Saccharomyces cerevisiae S288C: one gene and its partners. Changing the gene in region 1 together with any one later gene gives a genetic interaction. Each region holds a gene or a part of one and is shown in the gene's direction. Other genes may lie near its edges.

Region 1 (4,707 bases):
GTGAGTTTACCCAAATGGCTGGTAGAGCTGGTAGAAGGGGCTTGGATTCCACTGGTACAGTCATTGTGATGGCATATAATAGTCCTTTATCTATTGCTACGTTCAAAGAAGTAACGATGGGTGTTCCGACGAGGTTGCAGTCTCAGTTTAGATTAACATACAATATGATATTAAATCTTTTAAGAATTGAGGCGTTGAGAGTTGAAGAAATGATCAAGTATTCTTTTAGTGAGAATGCCAAAGAAACTTTACAACCTGAACATGAAAAACAAATCAAAGTATTACAAGAGGAATTACAAACCATAGAGTACAAAAGTTGTGAAATCTGTGATAATGATATCGAAAAGTTTTTGGAATTGATGCTGGCATATAAGGAGGCAACAGTCAACCTAATGCAAGAAATGGTTAAATCGCCTTCGATATTGCATATCTTGAAAGAGGGCAGACTCGTTGCTTTTAGGGACCCCAATGATTGCTTGAAATTAGGATTTGTATTTAAAGTTTCTCTGAAGGATGCTGTTTGTGTCATTATGACGTTCACAAAACCATACAAACTCCCAAATGGTGAGCCAAATCATTTAATATACTTTCCAAAAGCGGATGGATACAGAAGAAGGAACTTCCCTAAATTCCAGAAGACTGATTTTTATATGGAAGAAGTTCCTGTGACGGCTATTGAAGTGATCACTAAACGCAAGTTTGCCGCACCCTTGGGAAAAGTGATTAAAAAGGATGTTGCCGCTTTGAACGAGTTTAACGCTGAAACAAATAACATTTTGGACGGCAAAACGCTAAAAGAAGCAATTAACATTGAAAAGCAAGGTTTAAAAATTCACCAAATATTGTTAGACCGTACAAATATAAGGGATGAGATATTCAAACTAAAAAGCATTAAATGTCCCAACCTAAGCCAACACATTGTTCCCAAGTTTAAGGCGCATGTAATTAAAAAGAAAATTGAAGAATTGTACCATTTGATGTCTGACCAAAATCTGAGCTTACTACCCGATTATGAAAAGAGATTGGCTGTTCTGAAAGACACTGAATTTATCGACCAAAACCACAACGTGCTGTTAAAAGGTAGAGTGGCATGTGAAATTAATTCTGGTTATGAGTTAGTTTTAACTGAATTAATTTTAGACAACTTTTTAGGAAGCTTTGAACCTGAAGAGATTGTAGCCTTATTATCAGTATTTGTTTATGAGGGGAAAACCAGGGAAGAGGAGCCTCCTATTGTCACACCAAGGCTAGCAAAGGGTAAACAAAGAATTGAGGAAATTTACAAGAAAATGCTTTGTGTTTTCAATACGCATCAGATTCCATTAACTCAGGATGAAGCTGAGTTTTTGGACAGAAAAAGGTTTGCCATGATGAATGTGGTGTATGAGTGGGCCCGTGGTTTATCATTCAAAGAAATCATGGAAATGAGCCCCGAGGCTGAAGGTACTGTAGTCAGAGTTATCACTTGGCTAGACGAAATTTGCCGCGAAGTTAAGACTGCCTCTATTATTATTGGTAATTCCACATTACATATGAAGATGAGCAGGGCTCAAGAGTTGATTAAGAGAGATATTGTTTTCGCCGCAAGTTTGTATTTATAGAGAGCTCATTTATTCTCAATGTGAGTCATGTTTATAAAAGTTAATGTTTTCGAACTCTTATTGCACACACACACACACACGTATACATAGTTTTTAAGTCCACTTCGATCCATCTTTATTTTTTTTTTCTTTCATGTAAGCAACGGGCGGACTATTGTAAGAAAATTTTATATTGCCTCATCACATAAACTAATATGCGAACAATATACAATTGAATTCTCAACATTGCCCATTCTCAAAATTGCCCAATCATAGAAAGGAAAATGGCTCCTAAATCTAGTTCTTCCGGTTCCAAAAAGAAATCATCGGCAAGTTCTAATAGTGCTGATGCAAAAGCATCCAAATTTAAATTGCCTGCTGAATTTATTACCAGACCACATCCTTCTAAAGATCATGGCAAGGAAACATGCACAGCATATATTCATCCTAACGTATTATCCTCGCTTGAGATAAATCCGGGATCATTTTGTACTGTCGGTAAGATAGGCGAAAATGGTATTTTAGTAATAGCTAGAGCGGGTGATGAAGAAGTACATCCTGTTAATGTTATCACCCTTTCCACAACTATACGATCTGTTGGGAACCTTATCCTTGGTGATCGTCTAGAATTAAAGAAAGCCCAGGTGCAACCACCTTATGCCACTAAGGTTACCGTGGGGTCCTTACAAGGATATAATATTTTGGAATGTATGGAGGAAAAAGTAATTCAAAAGCTACTGGATGATAGTGGCGTTATAATGCCTGGAATGATTTTTCAAAACTTAAAAACAAAAGCAGGTGATGAAAGCATTGATGTCGTAATTACAGATGCGAGCGATGATTCGCTTCCCGACGTCAGCCAACTAGATCTTAACATGGACGATATGTACGGTGGATTAGATAACCTGTTTTATCTATCTCCACCTTTTATATTCAGAAAAGGCTCCACACATATAACTTTTTCGAAAGAAACCCAGGCAAATCGTAAATACAATCTTCCGGAGCCCTTATCCTATGCAGCAGTGGGCGGCTTAGACAAGGAGATTGAATCACTGAAAAGTGCTATTGAAATACCTCTTCATCAACCGACGCTATTTAGTAGCTTTGGTGTTTCTCCCCCTCGAGGTATACTTCTTCACGGACCCCCAGGTACTGGTAAAACTATGCTTTTGAGAGTTGTAGCAAATACGTCCAACGCACACGTCCTAACCATTAATGGCCCCTCAATCGTCTCCAAATATCTTGGTGAAACGGAAGCGGCATTAAGAGATATTTTTAATGAAGCAAGGAAGTACCAGCCTTCCATTATTTTCATTGACGAAATTGATTCAATAGCACCAAATAGAGCAAACGATGACTCCGGTGAAGTTGAGAGCAGAGTCGTGGCTACATTGCTTACCCTAATGGATGGCATGGGCGCTGCAGGTAAAGTGGTGGTAATTGCTGCTACAAACAGGCCTAATTCTGTCGACCCTGCTCTCAGGAGACCTGGCAGGTTTGACCAAGAAGTAGAAATTGGTATACCAGACGTTGATGCCAGATTTGACATTTTAACTAAGCAATTCTCAAGAATGTCCTCGGATCGTCACGTATTAGATTCTGAAGCGATCAAGTACATTGCTTCTAAAACGCATGGCTATGTTGGTGCTGATTTAACTGCTCTCTGCAGAGAATCAGTTATGAAGACGATACAACGAGGACTAGGAACAGACGCCAATATTGACAAGTTTTCCCTAAAAGTTACATTGAAAGATGTGGAGAGCGCCATGGTTGATATCAGACCCAGCGCAATGAGAGAAATCTTCTTAGAAATGCCAAAAGTTTATTGGTCTGACATTGGCGGCCAAGAAGAGCTTAAAACAAAGATGAAAGAAATGATACAGTTGCCTTTGGAGGCTTCGGAGACTTTTGCCAGGCTGGGAATTTCTGCACCAAAAGGTGTATTACTTTACGGGCCGCCAGGTTGCTCCAAGACATTAACCGCAAAAGCTCTCGCTACAGAATCGGGTATCAACTTCTTAGCTGTGAAAGGGCCTGAAATTTTTAACAAGTATGTAGGGGAATCCGAAAGAGCTATAAGAGAAATTTTCCGCAAAGCACGCTCTGCAGCTCCAAGTATTATCTTCTTTGATGAAATCGATGCATTATCTCCTGATAGAGACGGGAGTTCCACCTCTGCAGCTAATCACGTGCTCACATCTTTACTCAATGAGATTGATGGTGTTGAAGAGTTAAAGGGTGTAGTTATTGTAGCGGCGACGAATAGACCTGATGAAATAGATGCTGCTCTTCTAAGGCCTGGTAGGTTAGATAGACACATTTACGTTGGCCCTCCAGACGTAAACGCCCGCTTGGAAATCTTAAAGAAGTGCACAAAGAAATTTAATACAGAAGAGTCTGGAGTCGATCTTCATGAATTGGCAGACCGTACAGAAGGTTATTCCGGAGCTGAAGTTGTGCTGCTTTGTCAAGAAGCGGGCTTGGCTGCCATAATGGAAGATTTAGATGTCGCAAAAGTGGAATTACGTCATTTTGAGAAAGCTTTTAAAGGAATTGCTAGGGGCATTACTCCAGAAATGCTCTCTTATTATGAAGAGTTTGCTCTAAGAAGCGGTTCATCTTCGTAAGCTTGTTCATAGTCAATTCTTTTCCTTTGTGTGCTCAATAATAGTAGATAGAAATTATACTGAACTCCGGTCATTTTGTATAATATATTAATCACTTCACACGAACATACATAAATAAAATATCATAAAGGTTAGCAAATTGGAACTAGTTATATGTTAATTAGTTAAAAGATAGAAAATTCGAGAAAGGAAGAAAAAGCTGATATTGCCCATCTCCAACTTTATCAAATCATTTCACGATGAATAGATTTTGGAATACTAAGAAATTTTCATTAACAAATGCCGATGGACTATGTGCTACCTTAAATGAGATATCTCAAAATGATGAAGTTCTTGTGGTTCAACCAAGTGTATTGCCAGTACTCAATAGTTTGCTAACTTTCCAAGATTTGACTCAATCAACTCCTGTAAGGAAAATTACGTTACTCGATGATCAGCTAAGTGACGATTTACCGAGTGCCTTAGGCAGCGTTCCGCAAATGGATCTTATTTTTCTTATT
Region 2 (7,441 bases), 780 kb from region 1:
TGAATAATCTGTGATGAATGACTTTATCTGTGTCTAATATATCAAGCAAAGGATCACCGTATCGAGAGACACTAGCCGTGAAGACTACAACCTCGAATAATTTTCCGACTCTTTCCAAAAATTCTTCCACACCAGGTCTTTTAATGACATAGACATTGTGTACTTGGTCATCTATTTCCACAGACAAAACAAAATCCGCAGATCGTAAGTATTTGAAAGAAGAGTGTACCAAGGTTTCATCCAGGTCCAGTATTAGGCATTTCTTGCCCTTTGTACTTTCATCTTGTGGGGGGAGCAGAGTGTTGTAACCTGGTGCATGATACTGGCCCTGCTGCAAAAGCGTTAGATCAATATATTCTTCATCTTCATCGTCTTCGTCGTCGGCATCGTTGGAAGTTTCACTGGCTTGAGAGCTGCTACTTACCCTACTCAAATTCATATCTTGGATAAGATGGTCAGACGATACTTGTACAGTAGGCCCTCGCTGCTGCGACTGCGACTGCGACTGTGACTGTGACTGTGACTGGGGTTGTGGTTGTGGTTGTGACTGTTGTTGTTGTTGCTGCTGTTGTTTTTTCTGCCTGGAAGTATCTTTCACAGCATCTCCTTTTTCCTGTACAATGCCACGACTGCGACGGTTATCTTCATCGTCGATCTCTTCATCTTCGTCAACCTCGTATTTTTCCTCGTAAAGATCATCTTTACTAATTCGCTTCTCTACTTTTGTCATATTATTAGTAGTAGTGGCGGTGACGGCTGCAGTCGGCGACGATGGCTTCTTTTTTTCATTATCGTTCGTGCTTATCCCAGATTTACCGGTGGATCGTTCAGTGGAACTGAAAGTAGCGGCTGAATTTGTCTTAGAAGGAGGAGAGTTTGTCTGATGTACGCCACGGGTTCGGCTTTTCGTGTTGGAATGTTTAACGCTTCTGTTTTTATTGAGAGAACTGCTCTGTTGTTGGCGATAAGCAGAATTGGAATTGGATTGTGTCGTCTCGGAAGAGCAGCACAGTATTGACGATATGAAACCCATACTGTTTTGCTACTTATTGTTGTTAAAGCTTACGAACACGAATGTAGGCAAATAAAAAGCTTGGATAAACGCACAATGAAAGGGGAAGTGCGATTGATTATGCTATAAGGAATGACACGAAGAGAGCAGACTATAGGCTAGGCAGGCGATAAAGGAAGGAGTTGTACTTGACGACAACGTAATAAAGAGTTCAATGAAAGAGTATTGTGAGCAGTATGGTTCAACGAGCACTTCTTCTCGACACCTATTTCTATACTTTTTCACTTAATATACACTAACTAATCCCAGACTTTTTTTTTTTTCCGTTCTTTCCAGAAAAAAAAGAAACAAAGCAAGCGTGCCCTGACTTAGGGTTTCCTAAAAAAGTTATTAGGTTTGTGTCACGTGATACGTCCTTTTCTGGTCACGTGGTCTTAGAACACTCTTAAGGGGCCAAGCACAAGAGGACAGTGCTAGCAGTAGAAGTGGTGTAGTAGTGATGAGGTAATGTTAATTGTGCATCGCACATATTTACAGGTAGTATATACTATAGTTTGTGAATACCTATTCTTATATATACAAGAAATGGTTGTCGGCAGACTGTCAGTAAGACTAATTTGCACTTGGAACTTCGAAGCCATAACCCTTCATGCACTCTTTGTACTTTTCAATGAATTCCTTGCATTTTTCAGAGTCTTGTCCATTGAATAAGATGCATGTATCCCGCTCCTCCTTTTCTGGCTTACAAACGCAACATGGCTTAGGTTTGTCCTCGCACTCCGCGTGGTTTTCTTGTTCTTGTTTCTTGTCAGTTTCAGTCATTGGGTATAATTGATTGTGTAGTTATCTGATTGTGTACACTAAAATTTTGTTTAGTTGTACTAGAGACAAGTAGTTAGGTGGTTACTAGATTCTGATTCGCCGCTATATATCGTCATTTTATCTTTTTTTGAAGGAGATAGGTAGGGTTATAACATTATCCGGGTAATGATTTGAAAAAAAATTTTCAAAAAATGCGATGAGATGAGGTTGAAAATTGTAAGTTAGAATATGCTTAGATAGTATGAGTATTTACGTTGGTAACTTGGGTTTCGAATTGGAGCTGTGTGCCTACAACAGCGTCTTATATATATACTATGGTGGTAGGAACTAAAAAATACTCTAATTTGGACTTTGTCCCTACAATCAGTGACAGTGAAGACGATGTTCCAATTCTAGATTCTTCTGATGACGAAAAAGTCGAGGCTAAGAAGACTACGAAGAAGCGGAAGGGTAAGAATAACAAGAAAAAGGTTAGTGAGGGGGATAACCTCGATGAGGATGTTCATGAGGACTTGGACGCGGGGTTTAAGTTTGATTTGGACGCCGATGATACCACTTCGAACTTCCAAGGCTGGAACTTTCTAGCAGAGGGCGAGTCCAATAAGGACGATGCCGAAGCTTTTGTGAAGAAGGACGTTGACTTGGATAAGATTATTAGAAGAAAAGGTGGGCTGGTGAAAATGGCCCATATTGATAGTAAACAAGAAGAAGAAACCGAGAAAGAAAAAGTAGAAAAAGAAAACGATAGCGACGATGAGGAATTAGCAATGGACGGGTTCGGTATGGGAGCTCCCATGAACAATGGAGACGAAAATCAGTCAGAAGAAGAAGAAGAAGAGGAGGAAAAGGAAGAGGAAGAGGAGGAAGAGGAGGAACAAGAAGAGATGACGTTAGAAAAAGGCGGCAAAGATGACGAAATAGATGAAGAAGACGATTCTGAAGAGGCAAAAGCCGATTTCTATGCGCCTGAAACTGAGGGAGATGAAGCTAAAAAGCAAATGTACGAAAATTTCAACAGTTTGTCTTTATCTCGTCCGGTTCTTAAGGGCCTTGCAAGTTTGGGTTACGTCAAGCCTTCCCCTATTCAAAGCGCCACAATCCCCATTGCCTTATTGGGTAAAGACATCATTGCCGGTGCTGTGACTGGTTCCGGTAAGACTGCTGCGTTTATGATTCCCATAATCGAGCGTTTGTTGTATAAACCAGCCAAAATCGCTTCCACCAGAGTTATTGTTCTATTGCCCACTCGTGAGTTAGCTATCCAAGTCGCTGACGTTGGTAAACAAATTGCACGTTTCGTCTCCGGTATAACCTTTGGTCTGGCCGTTGGTGGTTTGAACTTGAGACAACAAGAACAAATGTTGAAATCTCGTCCGGACATCGTCATTGCTACCCCAGGTAGATTCATTGATCATATCAGGAACTCAGCAAGTTTTAATGTGGACTCAGTAGAGATTCTGGTTATGGATGAAGCCGATAGAATGTTAGAAGAAGGTTTTCAAGATGAACTGAACGAAATTATGGGCCTATTACCAAGCAATAGACAGAACCTATTGTTTTCTGCTACAATGAACTCCAAAATTAAAAGTTTAGTTAGTCTTTCTCTAAAAAAACCAGTAAGGATTATGATTGATCCTCCAAAGAAAGCTGCTACTAAGTTGACACAAGAATTCGTTCGTATTCGTAAAAGAGACCATTTGAAGCCTGCCTTGTTATTTAATTTGATTAGGAAATTGGATCCAACGGGTCAAAAGAGGATTGTCGTTTTTGTGGCTAGAAAAGAAACTGCTCATAGGTTAAGGATTATCATGGGTCTTTTAGGTATGAGTGTGGGTGAATTACACGGTTCTTTAACCCAAGAACAGCGTTTAGATTCCGTTAATAAATTCAAAAATTTGGAAGTTCCTGTACTTATCTGTACGGATTTGGCCTCCAGAGGTCTTGATATCCCCAAGATTGAGGTTGTTATCAACTACGATATGCCCAAGAGTTATGAGATCTACCTGCATAGAGTTGGTCGTACCGCCAGAGCTGGTAGGGAAGGTCGTTCCGTCACCTTCGTCGGTGAATCATCTCAAGATAGAAGTATTGTACGTGCTGCTATAAAGAGTGTAGAAGAAAATAAGTCCCTAACTCAAGGTAAAGCACTTGGTAGAAACGTAGACTGGGTTCAAATCGAAGAAACAAACAAACTTGTTGAATCCATGAACGATACGATTGAAGATATTCTGGTGGAAGAAAAGGAGGAGAAGGAAATATTAAGGGCTGAAATGCAATTAAGAAAGGGTGAAAATATGTTGAAGCATAAAAAGGAAATCCAGGCAAGACCAAGAAGGACATGGTTCCAAAGCGAATCAGATAAGAAAAATTCCAAAGTATTAGGTGCTTTATCAAGGAACAAGAAAGTCACTAACAGCAAAAAGAGAAAGCGTGAAGAAGCTAAGGCAGATGGCAATGGTGCACGTTCTTATAGAAAAACCAAAACCGACCGTATTGCAGATCAAGAAAGAACTTTTAAAAAGCAGAAGAGTACAAATTCAAATAAGAAGAAGGGCTTCAAAAGCCGTAGGTAATAATTTTCATCGTCATTATCATAAAATATCAACATACTTATCACTGTCATTATATTATTAATACTTTGTATTTAAATATCATTAATTCATCTAATAAACAGGGGATTAGTCAAAAATTCCTTTTTTTTTGTTGAATCTGTAGAAGTGAGTATTAATAAACTGCAAGCTATATGCTATATTAAAAGGATTTTTCAAGTACAAACGAACTGAATGGAGACTCAAGCTACTTGCGGGAAAGAATTACAAAATTACATTCCATTCTAGTAAAAAAAAGTTATAAATAAAAAAAAATCGTCTGACGACAAATTTGTATCTTAATCAAAATAAAAATTTTGGGTTACTTTCTTTAACGTTTCCAAGTTATAAAATTCTTCATCTTCGTCCTCGTCGCTTGGTTCAGGTGGAGGCACTATGATGTCCTGACGAACGTTCAAATTTATCATCTGAACATTTTTCCTCAAATCAAATAAAGTGTCTATTTGTTCTTTCGTGTCTTCTGATATATCTTCATGCTGGAATGGAGATATCAATTTCAATCCGTCTAGCCATATATATCTTCCCTCTTCTGTGTCTAAATAAAATTTCAAAACTGTCCTGTCGTTACGATCTTTTAATTCAACTCCAGTGTACACATTGGCTTCATCTAATTTGATGTAAACATTACTGCTCGTCCGACGACTCGGTGTAGTAAGTTCTATGCTTTTGAAAGAGGTTATATGTTTCAAAACAACAACTTTTGTTCTGCCATTAGCTAATGCCTCAGAACCTGGACTTGTTAAAATTTTATTGTCGAATAGATAAGGTAAATCGTTTGTTTGTGTTTCGAATTCTCTGGCTAATAAATTTGCGTGGTTATCTGAAACTATGAGGAAGTAGACTTTAGGCGTGCCAGCTTCAGGATTCAGTGGGTTCTCTGCGTAAACCCACGTTCCCTTTTGCAATTGAAGAAGTCTTTGATGACGAACGTAATCACGAACCTGGCCTGATAGCATGGTATCGAAGCTAGCGATACTAGATGACCAGGTTCGATACTGTTCTTTTTTGATTGAGTCTAATTGTAATGTTCTTGCAAATTTATATCTCATAGAGTCAAGTGCAACAACTTGGGTCTTGAGAAGGGATTTCGTCTGTATTGCTGCTTCCAAATCACTGGATGACAAACAAACATATTTTAAAGTGATAATAGCTAAATTTAACAGTGAAACCAAATCACTTTGCGATTTTGCTAATGATTCTATCCAAAATCTCAAAAACAACTCGAGTGTTTTGTAAAAACATGTTTGTCGATTGAGAACAGCGGTAGCAATTTGTAATTTTAAATCACGCTCTGAGTCTGAGTATTGGTTCTCTTTTTTCCCACTTAGATTGAAAAGTCTTCTAAATTGGTCTGAAAGTTTAAATATTGCTTCATAAAGAGGGAAATCGTTCTCGCCAAACAACAATTGTTCAGTGTAAAGTCTCTTGAAAGACCCATTAGGACTGTTTAAGAATGTGAATGTATCATACGCATTTAATAAATTTATACTGGGAAGATCGCCCATTTCCATTTCTAACCCTTTTTGGAATACGGAGTTATCTTTGATGGCTGTAAGAAGATCAGCTTTAAGCGAACAGGAATAATCATCAATACTAACCGAAGATAGAAAATTTATTAGCCTCTGCTTTAACGGTACAAATTCTTCAAGGATTAGTGGTTGCAAGTCTTCTATGTAAAGTAATTCAGACATGGAAGCTGGAAAGTTATACTGAAATAGCAAAATGAGGATTCTGGGTACAAATTCTACGGCGTGTGATAGTGATGTCTCACATAATGTAAGTGAGCATTTTAAAAATAGGGTTATGCATAGTATAGTGTCCGTAAACAACGGTATATGAATAGGTCTTTGGGACAAAAGTTGTAAAAGTATTCCAATGAGCTGAGAGTTCTCTCTGGAGATGTGGCAGATGCTCACAATAACTTCATTCTTATTAGAATCTTGGCATTTAAGGGCTACATTAAAAATCCTAATGAGATTTGCTACCAACGTTTCTGACCTTAGCTTTTGGCAATTATCACACAATATAGCCCAAAATCGGGAATCTGGAATTACGGTTTTACATAGGTATTTTTCATCACAAAGGAGGATATAGTTTGCCAATAACTTTTCGTATTCATCACTTGTCTTGTTCAAATTTTTATTACTGATCAGCGTATGATAGCAAGCTTTTGATTGTGCACTCGTAAGTGACTTGACTGGCTTTCCTAATTTAGGATTCAGTAGCACTTTTATGTTTTCCAAGCTTTCATCTGGCATCTGCCTGTTATGCTTCATTGCTTATGCCGTTATTTGAGGTTACTTTAATCTATTTTCCTACTGATGACACAATTGAGTCAATCCAACGTGGAACGGGTTGCCCTTGTATACATTTCAGTTTACTTCTTTTCATGTATTTCCTTAATAGTTTATTTTTTCACTTTCTGCCTATCCGTTTCAATTCCGAAGAACCGTCAACATCCAATAAAGATCATCTACAACAATAAGTGCCCCTCATAATTTTCTCAATGAGATGAAAGAACTTTGAGAGAGTCAATATAATACCTGTAGCCTTTTTCTGAAAATGACTGATAGTGAGAATGAATCCACCGAAACGGATTCGTTAATGACGTTTGACGATTATATAAGCAAAGAGCTACCTGAACATTTACAGAGACTAATCATGGAGAATTTGAAGGGTTCTACTACTAATGACTTAAAGCAAACTTCAAACAACTCAGAGTTTAATGTCAGTAAAAACGGGAGCTTCAAAGGTCTCGATGATGCAATTCAAGCTTTGCAAATGCAAAGCGTGTTGCATCCTTCTTCGTTAGGATCGTTAGCAACGTCCTCCAAATTTTCTGGATGGTCGTTTGCTCAAGGGTTTTTTGTAGGACAGCTAAGCATAGTGTTGTTGTTCATCTTTTTCCTAAAGTTCTTTATATTCAGTGATGAGCCATCTAAAAGTAAGAATCCGAAACCTGCAGCCTCCCGTCACAGATCAAAATTTAAAGAATATC
Region 3 (5,315 bases), on another chromosome or scaffold:
TTACATAGTTACCTTTTTGTACATAGAAACTATAGTTTCTTAAGTACTACCGGATTAGAGGTTTGTTATTATATGTTTTCCTTGTGTAAACATATAATAGCAATACTGAAACATTACTCGTATTATGCTTTTGGGTTATCACGTTCAACAAGGAACTCTACCAACTCTAGTTTTAAATTGATTATTAAATGGATTGGATGTCGCGAAGCATTACAATAAGTAGGATCTGAAGGTTCAGTAACTCTTTTTCATGACGCGTTGTTTTCTTTATTTTTTTCTTATCTGACACATGTAATTATTCGGTTTCCTTGCTCTATATAATTTAGCGATAGTTCTCTAGTCATTGCTTAGATTTTATATGAGGAATGTGTGAAAATTTTGGTAATTGTTGGGATTCCATTGTTGTTAAACGCTATAATATAGGTATACAAAATGTACAAGAAGTTCCCCTTGAAGATATATGAATCTACAAGAGAGAGTCAATATTTCTACATAATAATAATAATAATAATACTACTGTTATTTCTCCTTTCGTTTTCTATGTTTCATTATCTTATCTCATCACCAATCCTTGCATTTCGTTTCCATTAAATTTAATGACTGTTTCTCATTTCTTATGACATTTTCCTACATCTTATAGATGATATACTAGTAACGTGAGTACTACTATATAGATGATATCAGGATTTTATTTCATCGGCATAGTTACTACTGCTTCTACCATTGAAATCATCAAAAGTATGTATTTTTGTTGAATTCAAAGAAGTCAATCTTATGTCTAAGTTACCCCACTTGCTTGTTATAAAAAGCCTCCAGACTTGATGTATATAGCCATTTTTTTTTTGTAAACATAACAATATAATATTTGGGCTTGTCATGATATATTTCTTGCTTAGTAAATAGACGTATGTATTTAACTAACTTTTGGAAACGTTGTAAGTTCCATTAATAATTTTGGTCAACATAAAGTGGCGAGAAAAACGCCCTGAAAAAACCTTTGTGGTGTATACACTCAATGTGGATGTTGCTTTAAAATGGATTGTAGTGTTATCTTCACGCACGCTTAAATCATTGCAAAAAGTTTTTTTTAACGTAAGTGAAAAAAGACACCAATGCAGTTTTATTAGTACCTGCCAAACAGATAATCGATCATTTATGAGGTCTTTTACTTCACATTGAGTTTTTGTAGCTCAACAGTCTATTTATCAAATATACTTGTTGGAGACCTTACAAAAGTGTCTTTCTACATCTCAACTTAAAGTGATGAAGTTGACAAGGGTCTTACTCTGAAATTCCATCAGAGTAACTACGGTAATCTATATGGATTTCTGTTGGTCTTTAGAACAATCTCTGAGGATGAATTCAAGACTCACCTTCCAGTACATAGTAATCGTAGGCCCTTGTCTGTTATTGTAGAAACTTCTTCGTTGAATTTTAATAATGTGAGACGGAAAGAAATACAACCATATGAACAATTTTTTTAATTGTTAGTTATCCTGCGAACTGTGAGGACCAGTTTAATATATGGGAGGAGTTGAAAAAAATACAGTTTTAAGACTTTAAGCTTTCACGCAATCACTTACATTCTTTTGTGTGTATGCAGGCTATAGCTATCATTGAAATAGTAAAAGAAAGCAACTCCCGTCACTTTTACCATTGGTTCTAGAATGGGTTTGCAGTATGAAAAAAAATGAACGTAAAGAATATATTTCAACTGTCATTTTTAGCCCATTTCGAAGAATGATTGAGCACCGTCATTGATCGCTTAAGATGGCTAGCTTCAACATAGCGGAGTACATTGGAAAATCAGTGATCATTCTGTTGACTTCGTTTCAAATAATTCAGGTCAATATAATGTTAGAGTGTTCAATTTAGTGGGCAGTTTGTAACATGTATTATTGAGCAAGTGAGCTCTGATATCAGAGACGTTAACATGCAACTCAACCAAGTTGACTCATTCAAGTTGTGCTAAAATGGCCGTAGTGGAGGGGAGGGCCAGCGATGCAGGCGACACCAGCAACAGTTGAAGTTAGTTTTACCATTATGTTCGCTTTGCTTGTTAGTGCTGAATAGACTATACTATAAAAGGAGCAATGCAGGATATTCTCCAAGGCATAATGTGTGAAGTGGCCTATTAGTATGAATATCTTAGCAGTTGTTGCTGCTCAAACGAATCATTACACATCTCAAATCATCCTTTGTTCACTTTCTCTTTCTGCACCTACATCACCGTCTTTAACTGCCTTTATTGAGATGTGGCTGCTCCTGACCTGTTCACCTTTTATAAATCTTGCATAGGAAGGCATGCATTGAACTTTTTTTATTTACTTTCGTATGTTCAGACGAAAAAAAAAAATATTTCAGGATTACTTTCCGAAAGAATCCTTTGTATACATGCAATATCCTTAGACCCAACTTGATTAGAACTGTCATCCAGAAGCCCAATGCTCAAGCTTTGAATATCATATTTTAAAAGTTTTTTATGACAATGAAATTTTGTTTCTCCAAGTCAGGACACGGGGAAAATCTTTACTTTTAGTGCTATCCATAAATATACAGTTCTTTAGCCCCATATTTTATCAGTAAAACTACTTATGGCTGTCCTTACCGTATGCGGTATAATGAAACTTTTGAAAGGAACATCTTAATATACCGCCTTGACATATCCGGGTAATAATAATACAATATTCGGAAGTTTTCTAGCATTAAATGGACAGTAAGGTAAAGAAATGAGATGTGGTTGTTATATGGAGATCGTAGAATAAAAAGAGAGACACTTACAGCACTGGTGCGATCCATAACCTGAATTCATAATGCTGGTTCCACCTGCTAACTTTGGGATTGCTGAAGAAGGAATATATAGATGTTCTAAAGTGGAGACATTAAATTTATCCTTTCTGGAAACTCTCAATTTAAAGACAGCTATATTTATTGGAGGTCAAGAACCATCCAAGTTTTTCAAAGATTTTTTCACAAGATCATCCATAAAATGGATTGTTTTAAGGATGTCTGATTTCTCGGCTGCGGCAGTTCCGGTAAAAAGCTCTTCTGTATCTAACGCAAATTTATATTCGAATAATAACAGTACTCTATCATTACAGGAAGAAAAGAAAAAATCCACTGCAAATGGGTCACAAAATTCTACTACAGGGGATCCTGTAATTCAGGAGGAATTGGCTTACCACTTGACTGACAATGATGACTTAATGCTGATTAAGAGCACGTGTTTAAAAAGAACTTTCAAAACATTATTGAATGTGGATAATTATAATGTTTTATTGGTAGATAAGACCGCGTTGGTCATTGGTATACTTCGAAAAATTCAGAAATGGAATATTGCATCAATCATAAATGAGTACAGATTATTTTCTGGTAAGAATAGAAATTATTTTGCGGAAACATTTCTAGAAATAATTAACATTGAGATAGAACAGGAGAAGGATAATAAGACAATTGTGGACAACAAAGCAAAAAAATTGCCCCTTGAGAATAATAGGACGCATTCGATAGAGTATAAGGCCAATTCTGGCAAACTTATTAGAGTAAATGAAGATGACCTTTGCAGAGAGCCAGAAGTGCCTCAGCGGCTTTTGACATTAATAAATCAAATCGAAACCAAAGTGAAAAATAATAAAGTATTACAAGTAAGTGGAGTTCTAGGAGACGATTTGAAGAAAACCTCTTCTGACCTAGGAATTTTTGGCCATAGGTATAGATTAGCATTTAATAAAAAAGAAAATGGAGATTATGGCTATTATAAAGCAAGGGGAAAAGATAACGTCAAAATAAGGATACCCTGTGATTCTGAATTACCAGATTGGTTCAGGTTTCAACGAGATTTGTGGGAAAAAGAAAACGTTCCGGAAGAGCATCACTTTTATAGGGAACATATTTTTACATAGTTTACATTTTTACGTATATGTATAGATGATTTCATGATAAACGTTTTCCACTTTTCTATCATTTCATCATCTAAATGGGAATAGCAAACCCTGGGAGTTCTTTGTCGCACTATTTTCCAAGCGTAAAAAGGCATACTTCAATTTTTCTTTTGTTTACGTTTCAGGAAGTCAACAAAACTTGTTTACTTATAAACACAAATACCTACAGGCACTAAAGTTTGTTTTTTGGCCTCTATAAAATTTCCCTCAATGTTGTATTCTCTGCGTGTACATCCTCATAATCCTCGTTTTCTTCATCATCAAAATTCAAATAAGTGTGATCACCCATCGCTCTTGGTTGGAAGATTAATTTAACCAAAAAAATGATGCCAAATAAGGCGCAAAGCCCTGCAACGATGAGGTACAGTACGCCTAGTGACATATTTCTACCACCAATAGCTCCATTTGTAGTCAGTACAAATGATTTTGTGCCACCAAAGAGTGAAATCGGATAATTCAACTCAATGTTCATTTGATATTTACCCTTCGGTAAAGAAGCAGATTCATTTTTCAACGTCAACTTGTAAAACTTGGGAAAGGCTGCAGTCCTCATCCATACCTGGAACTCTTCCCAAGTATGGATATCAGGAAGATTTTCATCTGTATACCCATCGGGATACTTCTTCATCCAGTTTGGCGGTGGAACAATATCGCTAGCATTATACTTGGTGGTTTTAAATCTGTGACGATCAATACTCCATGATATATGCTTGTTAGTTAAATTATAGTCTTCTGTGTCATCTATACCACTCAACACCTGAGAAAATGTATCATTAAACATGGAATTAGCGATCAACCCACAGGGATATATTATTTTGTCTTCCCTACTTCTTATTGGACTACAGCTTGTATCCAGATCATCTTTTTTGATAGGCTCCCCTAATATTTGCTTTGTGTCAAACGATTGGACATATCTGCGATGATTTTGATAAAAATTGGTTATTTTATAATATATAAAAATGGATTTCTTGATATCGTTTGGGATTTCGAACTGCAGTTCGCATGATTGTTCGCCATTTTCATTTTCGGTTAGCCTCCATTGTGGTTTATTTTCAACTTTACTTTTAAAGTGATATTTAATGTACTTCTTTGGTATATCTTCAAAAGCAGTTGTAGATGCTTTTGTATCACAATGACTATAATCAATTGTTAGATCTTGTACCTTAGTAGCGCTTACAATGAGTCCAATACCAATAGGAGTAAATATACATGCAACGAATATTAACAACGGAAGCACACTTTGAGGAGACAGTATTGGTTGCCATGCCTTAAGCCTTTGTTGTCTAAACGCTGTGTTAGGAGGCTTTTTAGAAGTGGGGCCTTCTTTCGTGAGCGGTGGAGCCTTACCTCTTTTGAACAATGAAACCATATACA
Region 4 (9,038 bases), on another chromosome or scaffold:
GACCGAACCTTCTGATGAAATCAGAAAGGTTAACAAAACCAGAAATGGTACCGGTATCCCAACCAAAGATGAAGCCGCCAAATGCAATCATCAAACACAGGATTGCGACGGTGGTATACGCAGAGAGGGGTTTTTGAGGTAAGTCAATAGGTGGCTCATTGGCATCTAGGTTAAGGGAATTTTTAGAGTCACCGTGTTCAGTCTTAACAGAGGGAGCGCCTACTGCTGAGTTAGAGTTAGACATGGTAGTAGATAACTCATTTGCGGATGTATTATTAACACCTGACATGATATTGAGTAATAACAAAAGCGTTTAGAACTAAATTGTGCAATGATTATTTTTTTCAACTCATACCAAAAAAAGAAGAAGAAAAAGATAGGAACAAGTGTGCTCTTCTCTAGTTACACAACTGTGACATTATATACCTTTAATTAGCGAAAAAGAGGAACTGAGAAAGATGAGCCTAGACCTTAAGAGCTAAGTAGTATACGGTGTGTCGAACTGCTACTGATACTTTGAACGAAGGTGTCCGAGTGTATGCATTGTTCGTGTGGTCAGCATTTATTGTGGAGGAGGCGGTTTCATCTACAATTTCCGACGCCTGATTTTCCACGGATATAATTTATTTTTTGACACCTGGAGTTTACATTTCACAAAATTTCTTTCTTTTTTAGTTTTGCACTGATTTCCCCTGAAATAAAGAAAAAAAAGAAAAAGAAGGTTTTGTGAAGTGCCAAGGGATGCACGAGAAAAGCACTTATAACTCGCACGGAGAAATGATTATGTAATTTTCGCGGAGAAATGATTATGTAATTCCGCGGAGAAATGGTTATGTAATTTTTGTGGGGAACTGAACAAGGTCAGTTTACGCTTCGTACTTTGTCGTGGGACTACGTATACGCAAGATTGCGGAGGCAGTGCAATAATGGGGTCTGCTTGCAGATGGTATGATCTGCTATAACGGGCCAAGGGCCAGGCACGCTCTTGCAGAACATACCATGTTATATCATGTAGGTTGTGCAAACATTACCTAAAACTGAAAGCTTCGTTTACATACAGCACTCCTTCCAGATCCTAAATTTACTTTGTTCTTTTCTTATTTTCGATCATTCGTAAGACGTCCATAGGCACGTAAAAGACATATATAAGTAAGAAAGACTTCTTCACTCGAGGAATTAGCTGTACTAGAATATATGTTCCATTCACCAGTCCAAACACACAAACAAAAGTGAAAGTTTTTTCATAAAGAAAAGAAAGCAACGTACAATGACTATTTCTTCTGCACATCCAGAAACAGAACCCAAGTGGTGGAAAGAGGCCACAATCTATCAAATTTATCCCGCAAGTTTCAAAGACTCCAACAACGATGGGTGGGGTGATATGAAGGGTATTGCCTCCAAGTTGGAGTATATCAAAGAGCTTGGTGCCGATGCCATTTGGATCTCACCATTCTACGACTCGCCACAAGATGATATGGGTTACGATATTGCCAACTACGAAAAGGTCTGGCCAACCTACGGTACGAACGAGGACTGCTTTGCCTTGATCGAAAAGACACATAAGCTTGGTATGAAATTTATCACCGACTTAGTCATCAACCATTGCTCGAGCGAACATGAATGGTTCAAAGAGAGCAGATCCTCAAAAACCAATCCAAAACGTGACTGGTTCTTCTGGAGACCTCCTAAGGGTTATGACGCCGAAGGCAAGCCAATTCCTCCAAACAATTGGAGGTCTTACTTCGGTGGTTCTGCATGGACGTTCGATGAAAAGACACAAGAGTTTTACTTGCGTTTGTTTTGCTCCACCCAACCTGATTTGAATTGGGAGAATGAGGACTGTAGAAAGGCAATCTACGAAAGTGCCGTTGGATACTGGTTAGACCATGGTGTAGACGGCTTTAGAATTGATGTGGGAAGCTTGTACTCCAAGGTTGCTGGTCTACCAGACGCTCCTGTGATTGACGAAAACTCAAAGTGGCAACCCAGTGATCCTTTCACAATGAACGGACCACGTATCCATGAGTTTCATCAAGAAATGAACAAGTTCATCAGAAACAGAGTGAAGGATGGCAGAGAAATTATGACAGTTGGTGAAATGCAACATGCTACTGATGAAACCAAGAGGTTGTATACAAGTGCATCAAGACACGAACTTAGTGAGTTATTCAACTTTTCCCACACTGATGTCGGGACTTCGCCCAAGTTCCGTCAAAATTTGATCCCATATGAACTAAAGGATTGGAAGGTTGCCCTTGCTGAACTTTTCAGATACGTTAACGGAACTGATTGTTGGTCAACAATTTATCTGGAAAATCACGACCAACCTCGTTCAATTACCAGATTTGGTGACGATTCTCCTAAGAACCGTGTTATTTCTGGTAAGTTGTTGTCTGTGTTGTTGGTGTCACTGAGCGGTACTCTATATGTGTACCAAGGACAGGAACTGGGTGAAATCAATTTCAAGAACTGGCCTATCGAAAAATACGAGGATGTCGAAGTTAGAAATAACTATGATGCGATCAAGGAAGAGCATGGAGAAAACTCGAAGGAGATGAAGAGGTTTTTGGAAGCAATTGCCCTTATTTCCAGAGACCATGCTAGAACACCTATGCAATGGTCTCGTGAGGAGCCAAATGCTGGTTTTTCTGGTCCTAATGCTAAACCATGGTTTTACTTGAACGAGTCTTTCAGGGAAGGAATTAACGCTGAAGACGAATCCAAGGATCCCAACTCGGTTTTGAACTTCTGGAAGGAGGCCTTGAGATTTAGAAAGGCACACAAGGATATTACTGTATATGGATATGATTTTGAGTTTATTGATTTGGACAATAAGAAACTGTTCAGCTTCACAAAGAAATACGACAACAAAACATTGTTTGCTGCTTTGAACTTCAGCTCTGATTCGATTGACTTCACGATTCCAAACAATAGCTCGTCGTTTAAGTTGGAATTCGGAAACTACCCAAGAAGCGAAGTTGATGCGTCTTCCAGAACATTGAAGCCATGGGAGGGCAGAATTTACATATCTGAATGATTGATGATTGTGACGACAAGATTTTTATACATATACATATACTTATTTTTATCTATGTTACATACCGCACTTTAAATAGTAACGACATATATCTGGTAGTGCGGTATGAGTTATGTAATACACTAAAGTATAGTTTTGTGTAGCATTTTCCATATGTCCTTGCATTGGTATTGTATTATAATAATGCTGAGAGAAGGGTTACTCTATAGCTCATTTGGCCAGATAATACGGCGAGTTATGTGCATATAAGAACAAGTACTAGTGAAATTATATATTATTGTTTATGATCAACAGAATCATCTCTACTACACACTGCATTATGAACTGCAGCCACATTTATCTAAGGGCGGAACGTACCTATGAAATGTCTCTACTACTTTTATGAAGATACTGATTTTTAGTTTGTCACAAATTTTACGATTCTGAAAACACATATACTTTCTTTTATGTTGATAGAGCAATAACACAATGGCCATTTAAAATCTAGCCAGCAAAATATATTCACCGGTTCGTACAATCTCATTTACTATTCCCTCTGAACGTCTTGACTTTGCTCCGCCAGCAAATTTTCCAATCCAACATGCAAGTCACGAAATGACGAATGAAGGCTGTATCAATCGTTCCTAACTGAGGATGGCTGAATAAAAATGAAGGGAAATTCTACGACAGTTTTAATTAGTTAATGAAGGGGTGTGAAAAAGTTAGAAAAAAAAAAAGTCAAATTCAGGAGAATAGACAAGCCTACATTTTCTGTAGTTCAAAACTTTTTATGGTTTGACTTTGTTTTTTTTTTTTTTCGTTTTTCTTTTTTAGTTGAACTAATGGGACCCTCAAACCTAAAATTTTCCGTTTTCGTTTAATCCTCGCATCATATATACCAAATAAGGACACAGGGTTTTCAGTGAGCAAATGTAAGGGTTTCTATGGATTATAAGCCCTTCGGATCAGAAACAGGGTTCCGTAGTTTGGGCAAGAATTGCCCTTAGTCCTGAGTCAACTGCAAAAATCTGTTTAAATTATTGCACCCAAATGTGATACAAATGTATACTATTATAGAGGCTGCCACGGCTTACAATTGCACCCCTCTGTGGCTTTTGAGTGGCGAAGGGTCTATGTTTGGATAATAGAGATGACTTATTTAATTGAAATGATGGTTTGGGTCCTAGCAGAACTCTAATATAGCAAAAAAGTGCTCGTGAATGTCTCTCTGAAAATGCTGGAAACTGATCACTCTAGGAATGACAATTTAGACGATAAAAGCACTGTCTGCTACAGCGAAAAGACAGATAGCAATGTTGAGAAGTCTACCACGTCTGGCTTGCGCCGTATAGACGCTGTCAACAAGGTCTTGTCTGACTACAGCTCTTTCACAGCTTTTGGAGTTACGTTTAGTTCACTCAAGACCGCCCTACTGGTGGCTCTGTTTTTGCAGGGTTACTGTACTGGACTCGGAGGGCAGATTTCGCAATCAATACAAACCTATGCCGCTAACAGTTTTGGAAAGCATTCTCAAGTAGGATCGATCAATACCGTCAAATCAATAGTAGCCTCTGTTGTCGCAGTGCCATACGCACGTATATCTGATCGGTTTGGACGTATAGAATGCTGGATTTTTGCGCTTGTGCTCTATACTATTGGAGAAATTATTTCTGCTGCTACTCCAACGTTTTCCGGACTTTTTGCAGGTATTGTTATACAACAGTTCGGTTATTCTGGATTTCGTCTTCTTGCTACAGCACTGACTGGTGATCTGTCTGGATTGAGAGATCGTACATTTGCGATGAACATATTTCTGATTCCCGTGATTATAAACACATGGGTAAGTGGAAATATTGTTAGCTCAGTTGCTGGTAATGTTGCACCATATAAATGGCGTTGGGGCTATGGAATTTTTTGCATCATTGTGCCCATCTCCACCCTAATATTGGTCCTTCCCTATGTGTATGCTCAGTACATTTCCTGGCGCAGCGGTAAGTTACCACCATTAAAATTGAAAGAAAAAGGACAGACCCTGCGTCAAACGCTCTGGAAATTTGCGGATGACATAAACTTAATTGGAGTCATTCTTTTCACTGCTTTCTTAGTTTTAGTATTATTACCTCTCACAATAGCTGGTGGAGCCACCTCCAAATGGAGAGAGGGTCACATTATTGCAATGATTGTGGTTGGTGGCTGCTTAGGTTTTATCTTTCTAATTTGGGAATTAAAATTTGCTAAGAATCCATTTATCCCACGAGTATATCTAGGTGATCCAACCATCTACGTTGCATTGCTAATGGAATTTGTATGGCGTCTAGGTTTGCAGATTGAGTTAGAGTATTTGGTCACCGTGTTAATGGTAGCATTCGGAGAATCAACATTAAGTGCGCAGCGGATAGCTCAGCTTTACAATTTTCTACAGTCATGCACTAATATTGTTGTCGGCATTATGCTGCATTTCTATCCTCATCCGAAAGTCTTTGTAGTCGCTGGGTCGCTTCTTGGTGTCATCGGAATGGGTCTTTTGTACAAATACAGGGTGGTATATGACGGGATTTCGGGTCTTATTGGCGCTGAGATTGTGGTCGGTATAGCTGGTGGTATGATACGTTTTCCTATGTGGACGCTAGTGCACGCTTCAACCACCCACAATGAGATGGCAACTGTCACTGGGTTACTAATGTCCGTTTATCAAATCGGAGACGCAGTAGGTGCTTCCATCGCTGGTGCTATATGGACTCAGCGTCTGGCAAAGGAGTTGATACAGCGACTCGGCTCTAGTTTAGGGATGGCAATCTACAAATCACCACTCAATTATCTAAAAAAATACCCTATTGGATCAGAGGTTCGTGTTCAGATGATAGAATCCTATTCGAAGATTCAACGCTTATTGATAATTGTGTCCATTTCGTTTGCGGCTTTCAATGCTGTTCTCTGTTTTTTCTTGCGTGGCTTTACTGTAAACAAGAAGCAAAGTCTTTCCGCAGAAGAACGAGAGAAAGAGAAGCTCAAAATCAAACAACAATCATGGCTCCGTCGTGTAATTGGATATTGAGCTGGAGAGTACTAGCGATACAAATATAGTGTTAAGCTCTTTCCTGAACTAGAATTCTCTTTGAAATAATCACTGTTAATGTAAGTAGTAATCAATAATGGCGTGTAACAGTATAATATTGTTGTCTGAAATAAAAAACAACAAAAAGTTCGAATTAGTTTTATTTTATTTTTCTTTTCTAACTAAGTGAATATCCATACGTTTGTTACGTTTATTTCAGCAATATTATAGTCTTAAATGGGCTTGACAATACAAAAATCAATGAGATTATTCGCACCTGTCATTTCCCGTAGTTTTTATAAAGAAATATAAAAAAAAATGTTGCGAAGAACTTTTACTAGAGCGTAAACGAATTAAAAAAAATTAGTAGTGTAAATATAATCACCACCTGCCGTAAGCCTGCTTGAGCCCTTTATTATTTAGTTTTAGCTGTTGCTAACCTGACTTTCATACTTCTTATAATTGACGTCATAAAAAATATTCAAAGTTCGAAAGAATGAAGAAAACATTGACCGACTTAAAAGAAGCAGTAACCCCACGAAATTTTAACCAGTGCTGATTGTGCGAGAAATCGACTCCAACAGTCTCAGATCAGAGAATATATGAAATATTAGTGGCCCCATACTTATAATGGTTCGCTGATTAATGTATAACAAGCGTGAAAGTATGTATAGCTGCACGGATTGTAGATAGAGCTCATTTAATATTAGGTATTTTGCCCATGTCATTTTTGTGCAAGTCATTTTCTCCTTTGGAACTAAATTTTCTTTAAAATATCTCATATACAAAAAATCCTAACTCACAAGTTAATGTTTTCCATCATAAGTAGACGTTTATTTAAAACATGTTATTATATATTGATCCACTCTTTGCAGTGTCGTTTTCCTACAAAAATTAGATACTTAATCTTGAGGAGTGTAGAAATAAGTGAAGGCGACATAAAGATAGAGAAACAGCCATGAAATTTAGTGAAAGCTGACACTCAAGAATTAGGAATGTAATAAGATAATGAATCACAACATATAAAATGGAAAGTGAAGTAATAATACTATTCTATAGAATAATCGACGATCCTTCATGAATTGCTATATATCTGAGGAGAACTTCTAGCATATCCTGCATACCTAATATTATAGCCTTCAATAATAATGAAAATCCTAACAATTATCCAATTATTCACCAAATTCTCTATTTCAACAGTAGTATTATGGCATTGATTATATTGCAAGCTATAGATTCGATTTCATGAATTCATAACACTCTAAAAGAGAACTTCTGCAATACTCTGTACAAATAACATTATTACTTTTACTAAAAATAGATTTCCGGACACTAACTTTTGAATTCTTATCAAAGCAGTCGAATGCCGCGTCCTACGGTTTATGTATATAGATTTAAAAATACACGTTAAAGACTGTTTTCTCCATAATTCTTGTTTAATATACCTATGAACATAAGCGAGTCAATCAAACTCGGGAGTAAAATGCTTTAAGGCACGCCGCTTAACCTTTTAAAATACATGTCTGAACATTATGTAACCAAACTAAAATTGCTTTTAAATGGATCCGCGCAATATCTAAAAACATTAACTATAAAGGATAAAAATTTTGGACAAAAAATAGCAGTAGCATGTTTGCTTCCTAAGCGTTTGAAGTCAAAACCATTTTTAAAAGGGTAGAGAGGCTTAGTAAAAAATGGTTCCCTTATTTGGTTTATTTTGCATTTTTTCTCAATTGTACTCATTATGCTCCGCATATGTTGATATCACCAGCGGTTACCAAGTATTTTTCAACTTGCCAACTAATATGACAAACAATCAAATATGCTGGCTATTCCAAGCATCTTACTATGATATTTATTCTGATAAAAGTGGTAGAACACTTAGAACGGGACGGTTTGAACCCGGCGATCAGCAATCTTTGATTTATAGGGATACCTTAGTTGAGTTGGAGGCTATTACAGATTCTTATGAGTACAGTAACCTAGATCTATCGACTTATAACGGACCTGAGCCATATAATTCTGAGACTGATTATTGTACAGATATAATGGATTTGGTAATGCGTGTATATGATGAAGAAGGACATTATGTTCATCCAGTTGCGAATAACTCAACAAATGCTTGCGCTCATCCAACTCCTCCTACGTTAAACAATCTATTGATAAGTAATTATTCTGACGGAAGAAATTATAAAGAGTCTTCTATATAATGGTGTAGTAAGGATACTGGAACCCTTTTATGACACATTTAGCAGTAAGATACATTTTTGGTTGATGTGATCAAGATTTTTTAGTTTGTAGATTTATTATATAGCACTGGGACATCATTAACATCGCACTTTCGAGTTAATGTATGTATACACAACATCGAGGAACAACAGCATCTAGGGTTAATGACATTGTATTGTATACTTTCGTTGTGCTAGTGGTGGCGTGATGCAAGAAGCTGATACATACCTGAAAATGAAAGAGGACGTAGCTATACGGTGTTTGTGGACGAGTTCACATACAGTACTGAAAAAGATGAGGATGGGCTGAGATAAAGTTTGAATGATAATGAATATTATTACATCTTCTTTCATTTTATATACCGTCATTCATTATCCCATGAAATTATCAAGCCTCGCGTTTCAACCTCTACTAAAATCGTTGACTGTTTCTCAATATTTATGTCTTTCTTACGTTGTATACGATAATATACACGTACTATGGATACTAGTCGATATATGATAGTTAATTCTCATTCCAATAAAAGTCGACACTACCGCTACCACCTAAAGTTATACTGTTTTTATGCGTGCGTACGCAACAGTTCATCAGAAAAATGTCTATCGTCAGAATCATCCCTCTGACATTTCAATTCCAAAAAGATTGCTCTATCTTTGGAAAGTGGCTAAACCTAGGAGTATTATAAAACTCACAAGTTCTTAGAACTTGCTTCGAGAGATCATAACAGGACAAGTATAA

Evidence for each region.
Region 2: mutations in AFG2 (region 1) and YLL006W-A together harm fitness more than expected from each alone (negative genetic interaction), as found in Saccharomyces cerevisiae (one large-scale study listed by BioGRID).
Region 3: mutations in AFG2 (region 1) and OCA4 together harm fitness more than expected from each alone (negative genetic interaction), as found in Saccharomyces cerevisiae (one large-scale study listed by BioGRID).
Region 4: mutations in AFG2 (region 1) and ENB1 together harm fitness more than expected from each alone (negative genetic interaction), as found in Saccharomyces cerevisiae (one large-scale study listed by BioGRID).

Annotation. Positions count from the first base shown.
Region 1 is NC_001144.5:912,050-916,756, reverse strand, and holds AFG2 (AAA family ATPase AFG2), read left to right. Parts: upstream 1-1,864; coding exon 1,865-4,207; downstream 4,208-4,707. Other genes in the region: SKI complex RNA helicase subunit SKI2, read left to right, coding at 1-1,601; tethering complex ATP-binding subunit VPS33, read left to right, coding at 4,447-4,707. UniProt on the Saccharomyces cerevisiae protein: ATP-dependent chaperone which uses the energy provided by ATP hydrolysis to generate mechanical force to disassemble protein complexes.
Region 2 is NC_001144.5:129,581-137,021, forward strand, and holds YLL006W-A (uncharacterized protein), read left to right. Parts: upstream 1-6,764; coding exon 6,765-6,941; downstream 6,942-7,441. Other genes in the region: PSR1 (phosphatase), read right to left, coding at 1-1,033; copper metallochaperone COX17, read right to left, coding at 1,625-1,834; DRS1 (putative ATP-dependent RNA helicase), read left to right, coding at 2,149-4,407; LMO1 (Lmo1p), read right to left, coding at 4,722-6,719; ERMES complex subunit MMM1, read left to right, coding at 7,006-7,441.
Region 3 is NC_001135.5:286,757-292,071, reverse strand, and holds OCA4 (Oca4p), read left to right. Parts: upstream 1-2,813; coding exon 2,814-3,902; downstream 3,903-5,315. Other genes in the region: YCR095W-A (uncharacterized protein), read right to left, coding at 2,275-2,433; aminophospholipid translocase regulatory protein CDC50, read right to left, coding at 4,135-5,310.
Region 4 is NC_001147.6:16,524-25,561, reverse strand, and holds ENB1 (Enb1p), read left to right. Parts: upstream 1-4,250; coding exon 4,251-6,071; downstream 6,072-9,038. Other genes in the region: hexose transporter HXT11, read right to left, coding at 1-289; oligo-1,6-glucosidase IMA2, read left to right, coding at 1,268-3,037; CSS3 (Css3p), read left to right, coding at 7,766-8,281.